Sus scrofa: one gene and its partner. Each later gene encodes a partner of the first gene's protein in a complex. Links are inferred from orthologs where the notes say so. Each region holds a gene or a part of one and is shown in the gene's direction. Other genes may lie near its edges. The genes, in order: TAPBPL and major histocompatibility complex class I-related gene protein.

Evidence for each region.
Region 2: the proteins of TAPBPL (region 1) and major histocompatibility complex class I-related gene protein are in contact, whole or in part, in an NMR structure (PDB 7RNO), measured with the Homo sapiens proteins. The link is inferred for Sus scrofa from reciprocal best matches to the Homo sapiens genes TAPBPL and MR1. Residues at the interface, in NP_060479.3 of Homo sapiens: His47, Arg48, Gly49, Ala50, Ala52, Ser53, Ser54, Leu129, Met131, Thr132, Glu133, Thr135, Arg228, Gln230, Lys232, Gly233, Arg234, Gly235, Thr280, Ile282, Gln293, Ile295, Gln297, Arg307, Leu308, Ser309, Ile320, Cys321, Asp322, Leu355; in NP_001372090.1 of Homo sapiens: Arg101, Arg104, His105, Asn107, Thr129, Gly130, Phe131, Leu132, Gln133, Ile143, Phe144, Asn145, Asp147, Thr148, Leu152, Ala153, Val154, His159, Thr160, Lys162, Gln163, Ala164, Ala167, Asn168, Gln169, His170, Thr213, Phe214, Pro215, Asp248.

What each region holds. Positions count from the first base shown.
Region 1 is NC_010447.5:64,190,625-64,194,112, reverse strand, and holds part of TAPBPL (tapasin-related protein), read left to right. Parts: intron 1-1,237; coding exon 1,238-1,579; intron 1,580-2,411; coding exon 2,412-2,714; intron 2,715-3,488. UniProt on the Homo sapiens protein: Component of the antigen processing and presentation pathway, which binds to MHC class I coupled with beta2-microglobulin/B2M. Association between TAPBPR and MHC class I occurs in the absence of a functional peptide-loading complex (PLC).
Region 2 is NC_010451.4:122,598,709-122,602,521, forward strand, and holds part of major histocompatibility complex class I-related gene protein, read left to right. Parts: intron 1-2,734; coding exon 2,735-2,995; intron 2,996-3,676; coding exon 3,677-3,813. UniProt on the Homo sapiens protein: Antigen-presenting molecule specialized in displaying microbial pyrimidine-based metabolites to alpha-beta T cell receptors (TCR) on innate-type mucosal-associated invariant T (MAIT) cells.

The sequences.
Region 1 (3,488 bases):
CGACCCTAAAAAGAAAAAAAAGGGGGAGTCCTCACGTCTGTCCAGTGTCAACCATAGTCCTAGCATGGCTAGGTATTGCTCCCTTTCATTTTTGAATATTTCAAACCTACAAAAAAGTGAAAGAATAACATAATACACACCTGTATACCATGCACCTGGATTCCCCAACTGAATCCTCCTTAACATCTTGCCTCATCCCCTCCTCCTCCCTCCCCCTCTTGCCATGTATTTCCCACCTTCTTAACTAATTGAAAGTCAACTGCTGACATAGCTCTACACTTGATCCCAAATGCTTCCATGGATGGCATGTCTTAGTTTATAATCAAAGACAAAAATGTTCTCCATAATCATAAAACCGTCACCTCAGCAGCAGCCCAAGGTGGGGAGCAGTCTACCCGGGGTGCAGGCCATACGAGGGTGCAGTGTGCAGGTAACTTAAAAGCATATTCTCACTGCTCTCCCTGCCCTGGCAATTCTGAACCATCTCAGTGATCGAACATTCCCCCTTGCCAGGGCGTGCTGTCCCCACATCCCCGGCCCCTGATCATTATACTTATGCCTTTGAAAACTGAAAGAATAACACTCTCAAATATAAAGTCCAAATTCCACCTTCTCCAATTGCCCTTGTGTGGTGTCCTATAGCTTTTGGGGGTGCGGTTTGGTTTTTGAACTCCAGGATTCAAACAAGGACTGAGCCTTGCATTTACCTGTCCGGACCCTTCAGCCTCCTTTCCTCTGGAACAGTCTTCAAGACCCAGACGTTTTTGAGGCCAGGCCGTCATCTTGTAGATGTCTCACCATTTGCATTTGTCTGACTGTTTTCCTCATTAGCCTGAGATTCAGCATGTTTGGCTCAAGTACCACCACTGTGTGCTTTTTTAAACTCTGACTCCTTTAGTCTCCTCAGAAGCCTTGCCCCAAGCAGAAGGAGCTTGGCAAACACTGACTAGCTTGCCCAAGGTCAGAGAGCAAGTAAATGGAAGAGCCTGGCTTCAAAAAGCTTTGCCAGCTACTCCAGGAGTCCCTACCTGAGGATCAACAGTAACCCATAATTTTGCATGTGTATTCTTCTTGCACTTCCATCAGACTGTGCAAGAGGTGAGTGACTCCAGAATAGTTAAGTGTACCATGCTGTACCCTGCAACACTGCCTCTCAACCCGCCACAGCATGCCACAGCTGAGATCAGGTGGCCTCGAGGATGGAGAGCCCACAGTCACCCCTCTTTTTCTCCCCCAGTGGAGTTCCAGGTGACAACACAGACCCCGTCCTTGAATCTTCTGCTAGGATCCACAGCTTCCCTGCACTGTGGCTTCTCCATGGCCCCAGGCTTGGACCTCACCAGCGTGGAGTGGCGGCAGCAGCATGGGGGCAGTGGCCATCTGGTGTACAGCTGGACCACCATGGGGCAGGGGCAGGCCCAGCGGGAGGGCGCCACCCTAGACCCTGAGCAACTGCTCATGGCTGGGGACGCCACCCTCACCCTACCCAGCCTCACTGTGAAGGATGAGGGGGCCTACATCTGCCAGATCACAACCTCCCTGTACCAAACTCAACAGATTGTCCAGCTCCATGTCCAAGGTAAGGCCAGGACAGAGTTATCCCTATTGGGGGTGGGGTCAGACACAAGGACTACATTCCCACAGCCCCAATGCCATCTCCGACCTGGACGTGCAGGTGGCATCAGACTGGGTTTCCCATCACACTCTAGGATAATAAATTCCACTGCGACTTTCCCAGCCCAGGACTCTGCTGCCCCACCCTGGCTGGTTGTCTCCAGTCACCCCCGTCCTTTTGGACCACATACTAAGGAGGAGCAGTGGTAGACCAAGGAGGGGCTGGGAGTGGTCCTGACCAGGAGGACTGTTTCAACACCGACAGTCTTCAAAATCACTGGCTTGGGAGTTCCCGTCGTGGCACAGTGGTTAACGAATCCGACTAGGAACCCTGAGGTTGCGGGTTCGGTCCCTGCCCTTGCTCAGCAGGTTAAGGATCCGGCACTGCCGTGAGCTGTGGTGTAGGTTGCAGACGTGGCTCGGATCCCGCGTTGCTGTGGCTCTGGCGCAGGCCGGCGGCTACAGCTCTGATTCGACCCCTAGCCTGGGAACCTCCATATGCTGCGGTAGCGGCCCAAAGAAATGGCAAAAAGACAACAAAAAAAATCACTGGCTTGTAGTGATGCTAAGAAGCAAGCCACCTTTTGGTTGATTTCGCTGCTATGTTTCAGTTCCCTGTCAAAATTATGCCCCTTGTGTCCCACATCCAGGGTGGACCCCTCACCCCCTCCCCAACCCTGGCACCCCACTGAGGAGGGAACTTCAGCCTCCACAAGCTGCTCTCATGCTCAGCAGGAGAGGAAGACTCTAGGCTCCTCTGCTGTCCTGGTGATGCCTCTGTCACTCTTTTCTTCCAGCTGCCCCAAAAGTAAGACTGAGCCTGGTGAATGAAGCTCATTCACATACCCTCATCTGCAGTGTCACTGGCTATTATCCTCTGGATGTGACGGTGACGTGGATCCGGGAGGAGCTGGGCGGAGCCCTGGTTCCAGTCTCCGACGCCTCCTTCTCCAGCCTTCGGCAAAGCGCAGCAGGCACCTACAGCATCTCCTCCTCCTTGACAGCAGATCCTGGCTCTGCGGGTGCCACTTACACCTGCCACATCACCCACATCTCCCTGAAGGATCCCCTTGTGGCCAACACCTGGGTTGCCCCACAAGGTAAGGGAGTGCCCTTCTTTCCCCAGCCCCATACTTGGGTTTGCAGCTCCTGCCCCCTGGCCTTGTTCTGCATCCCATAGTCTCAGCTTCCTCCCCAAGGTGGCTTCCTCCACAGCTCCCACCACACATCCCACTGCAACTTTATTACACCCCAGATTCAAGTGTACCAGGCACTGCTGAGAGCCAGAGACCAGAGCTGAACAAGTCTTCAGCCAGAGAGAGAGACCAGGCAGTCAGGGAAGACGACCTGGGAGGCGGAGGGGATGGGACCTGCGAGCCAGGTGGGCTGGCTCCGGGGGGAGGGAACACTGGGACAGGAGGGACAGCACATGCACAGATGTAATTATAGAGCTACCTAAAAAGAACTGGGGGACCTGCAGGCTAAAGGCAGGGGTGTGTGGGAAGAGGGGAAGGTGGCCAAGAAGCCCGAGGACTGACTGCATTAACTGAGCAGCTATATCAAGCCAGCATCGTCCTGAGCACTCAGCTGTGTGCCCGCCGTCGACATGCCTCCCATTTCAGAGAGGAGTAAACGGCACTTAGAGATGTTCAGCAACTTGCTCGAGGTCACCTGCCTAGTCAGTAATAAAACTGAAAATGTGGGAGTTCCCGTCATGGCGCAGCAGAAACAAATCCAACTAGGAACTCTGAGGTTATGGGTTCCTTCCCTGGCTCACTCAGTGGGTTGAGGATCTGGCATTGCCATGAGCTGTGGTGTAGGTCGCAGACGTAGCTCAGATCTGGCGTGGCCGTGGCTATGGTGCAGGCTGGCAG
Region 2 (3,813 bases), on another chromosome or scaffold:
GGGAACTCCTCTATTGCACTTTTTTTAAAAGACATATTTTATACATATATATATATATATATTTTTTTTTAATATTGTCTGCCTTCCTCCCCTCCTCCCACTAGGATGTAGGCTCCAGAAGGGCAGACAATTTAATCTGTTTTGTCTATGGTGTACTTAGGGAGGGCCTGGAATAGCGCCTGGCACACAGGAGGCACTCAAATTTGTAGAATACGCAGACGGATACTAAGCAAGTTTAAGAACTAATGTTCACGACTTGCTTTTCCTTTTGCCTCCATCTTTAAATAGCTGCATTTATCTGCTAAGGAGCCGCAAACCTTTTGATGTGAAGGAATAGAACCATTTGCAAAATCAGTCACAGATTCAAGCATATACAACTTTTGCAGACTCCAGACCAGATATAAATTAGATTTCAGCTCTGCTCCCCATTCTTTAGCCTGCCTCTTATGACAAGTTTTTTGTTTTTTGTTTTGGCTGCACCCACAGCACATGAAAGTTCCCAGGCCAGGGATCAAACCTGTGCCACAGCTATAACCAGAGCCACAGCAGGGACAATGCTGGATCCTTAACCCCCTGAGTCACGAGGGAGTTCTAGAAAAAAAAGGAAATTACAGACAGACTTGCATGCACAAAAGCTGGCCCAGCCATTTTGTGAACCATTTTTTTAAATGAAATATATCTTTAAAGTAAATACATATTTATAAGTGAAGAGGAAGGCGTGATCATCATTGAGTGGACGATCAGCACAAGGGATGGGAGTCTGACACCCATCCGAGTTTCTCCACAGTGACGAGGGTCACGCCTGAAGATTCACGTGCTGCAGGAACTCATGAAGGGAGCGAGAGCAGCGGGATAGGCCGCCTGGAAGAAACTGGGAGGAGTGGTGTCTAACCCAGCTCTTGGACACAGGCAAGGGAAGCCGTGGACAGGATACTACCCTTTAGAGGGGCCTGCTCTGGCACTCCCCAGCCACATCCTTTCCCACAGAGCCAAGAGTCCCTGAGGCCAAGGGGAGGTGCTCACCCCATGTCTGTACCACCCGCAGGTATCTGGGACCTGCAGTTCGCTGCCCAGATGACTCGGGGCTGCTTGGGTTTACATAGGCCTCTTCCTTTGGTCCCTCCTAAGGATGGACTATCCTGCCTGAGCCTCTGCCAGGCTCAAGAGGTGGCAAAGAGGCAGTGATTGCGGCTGAAACCTAAATGAGCAAGCAGGGGTGCCTGCATATGGGTACAAGGCCTTTGGCAGGGCTTGGTGGAGCTGGGGTAGGTAGAGAAGGCAATGGTTCCTAGGCCAAGGGCTGGGGGCTGGAGAATGGAGGCCAGCTTGTTCTGTGCCACCCCAAAGTTTGAAATTTTTCAATGTGAACTTGGCCTTTTGAGGTCACAGGAAGGGCTATTTGTCAAATGTTAAACAGGTTATTAGCTTGATTTATTCCTTTTAAATATTTGGCCCTCTGGAATGTGGGCCTCCTTTGTCCTCTTGACTCAGCCATGCAAACGTCAGAGCTGGTTCTGGGAGTGTTCAAGAGATGGGTTTTGATGACTGAGGAGGATTTAGATGGGTCAGGATGGCAGGACGAAGCAAGACAAGAGGCTCAGAGATGCGCATTTCCAGCCAATAGCGAGCAGGGTGGGGGAGGAAGCCACGGTGCTGCCTGCCCTCCCCTGCCAGGTCTTTGCATGGTGTGGGGGCCCCTGCCCTCCAGCCTGGGCTCTGCTTACCACTTAGGCCTCCTGTCTCCCAGTCTCCCCTGTGGTGCTCACTGCGCTCCAGGGCTCCTAGGCCATCGGTTCCCACAGCTCATGCTCTCCTCCCTGCTGCGGCACACGTGGTTTCTGCTCTGCTCCCATGTCCCTTCCCAGCTTCAGGACCTGCTCACCTCCTATCCGTCCCAGAACCTCCCCAAGACATATCTTCTCTGGAAAGTCTTTCCTGAGCACCAACGCCCCATGCTGACCCCCATCGTGACACTCTTCCCACGACTTTGAAACTGCTTTGCCGTCTCCACCAGACCGGGGGCTTCTTGGTTGAGCCTAGAGAAGTTCAGGGCAGAAGTGGCGGGGAGTGCCAGTTTTGTTTCATTTTAGCCTACTTTTGACCCTTAGTGATGATTACAATTCTTAGGGTGATGTTTGGCCAGAAGAAAAAGTAGAGAAAGAATAGAAAAATGGTCGAGAGTGTTGGTTTGGTATAACAGCAAAAACACTATGCTTTTTAAAAATTTTTCTCAGGAGGCTTGATGTGGATTCTCACTGGGGGTCCGTCAAGCAGATTCACCTGGTGTGTGTGTGTGTGTGTGTACACACCTACACGTGTGTGCACAGTGATGAGGTGGGGCCCTTATTCTTCTACCTGGAGCCTCTGTGGTGAAACAAAGGGGTTAGGTTATCAGAGTTTTCAAACCCTCAGGGTCCCTGGGGGACAGCTCTCCTGGGGGCCCCTTTCCCCACTGCCCAGAATATTTACTTCACTTACAAGTTGAGTTACCTGTAAAATTTCATCCTAAGATTTCCAAACCTGAACAGAACAGACTCCAGGTCTTGGCTAAAGCTCTCAAGTCCTATCCGGGACCCAGTACCTGGGGTTCTGTGATTTCTGGAAGAGGAACTGGGTCCCCAGGAGAACGGGTGCAGCGGAACATGGAAGCCCCGCATGGGGGTTCAGTGGAATGCAGCTCATGGCTCCGGATCCGCTGTGACTCTCACTATCCACCTTCTTTGCCTCCCTCCAGGGACTCACTCTCTGAGATATTTTCGCCTGGGCATTTCGGATCCTGGCCATGAGATGCCTGAATTTATTTCAGTTGGGTACGTGGATTCTTACCCCATCACCACGTATGACAGTGTCTCTCGGCAGAAGGAGCCGCGGGCCCCGTGGATGGCGGAGAACCTGGAGCCCGATCACTGGGAGAGGTATACGCAGCTGCTGCGGGGCTGGCAGCAGACGTTCAAGGCGGAACTGAAGCAGCTGCAGCGTCACTACAATCACTCAGGTGGTGAAGGCAGTGGAGTGAATGCTTTCCATCTCCAGCCCCCATCCCGGTAGAGAGGCCCCTGGGCTGATGGCGAGTGTGAGCAGTTGCTGAGCTGCATTCTTTTGGCAAAGCCTGGGCAATCTGGCTGATGGGTTCAGCGCCTGCCATCTGTCCTGTGCGGCTTCCAAATTGTCTGTTTCTTCCTCAGGAGCCCTTTGCCCCGTATCCCGATCCCATCCCCATCAGGCTGCTGACCTGTACCTTCTCCTTTCCCATCCTAAATTTGGCCATTGCCCATCTCCTTTCCTGGTGGCCAGGCTGAGGCAGGTGCTTGCCTGCGCCCAGCGCTTACTTACTACATTAACTTTCCCAGGGCTATTTCTGGCTCCTGCGTCTCTCTGCCCCCTCCACTGTATTAAAAAGTTTATCAATTGGTCACTCCCAATACAGGATAACGCCCAAGGCAGGGGTTAGCATACTCTCTTGGCCTGCAGTGGGTACTCTGCAGGTATCTGTCGTTAGGTGGGCTTATGTCACAGGACCCTCCTGGAGACTCAGTGATGCCATGGCAGGCCTGTGCAGTGATGTCCTGTGGGGCAGAGGAGGCTCCCAGCCAGGCCCCCAGTCACAGCACCTGGGCACCCACCTCCACATCCCCACGTAAACCTCTGTCCCCTCCTGCCTGCATGTGTGTTCCAGGGCTTCACACTTACCAGAGAATGATTGGCTGTGAGTTGCTGGAGGATGGGAGCACCACAGGATTTCTCCAATATGCATATGATGGGCAGGATTTCATTATCTTCAACAAAGATACGCTCTCCTGGATGGCTGTGGAT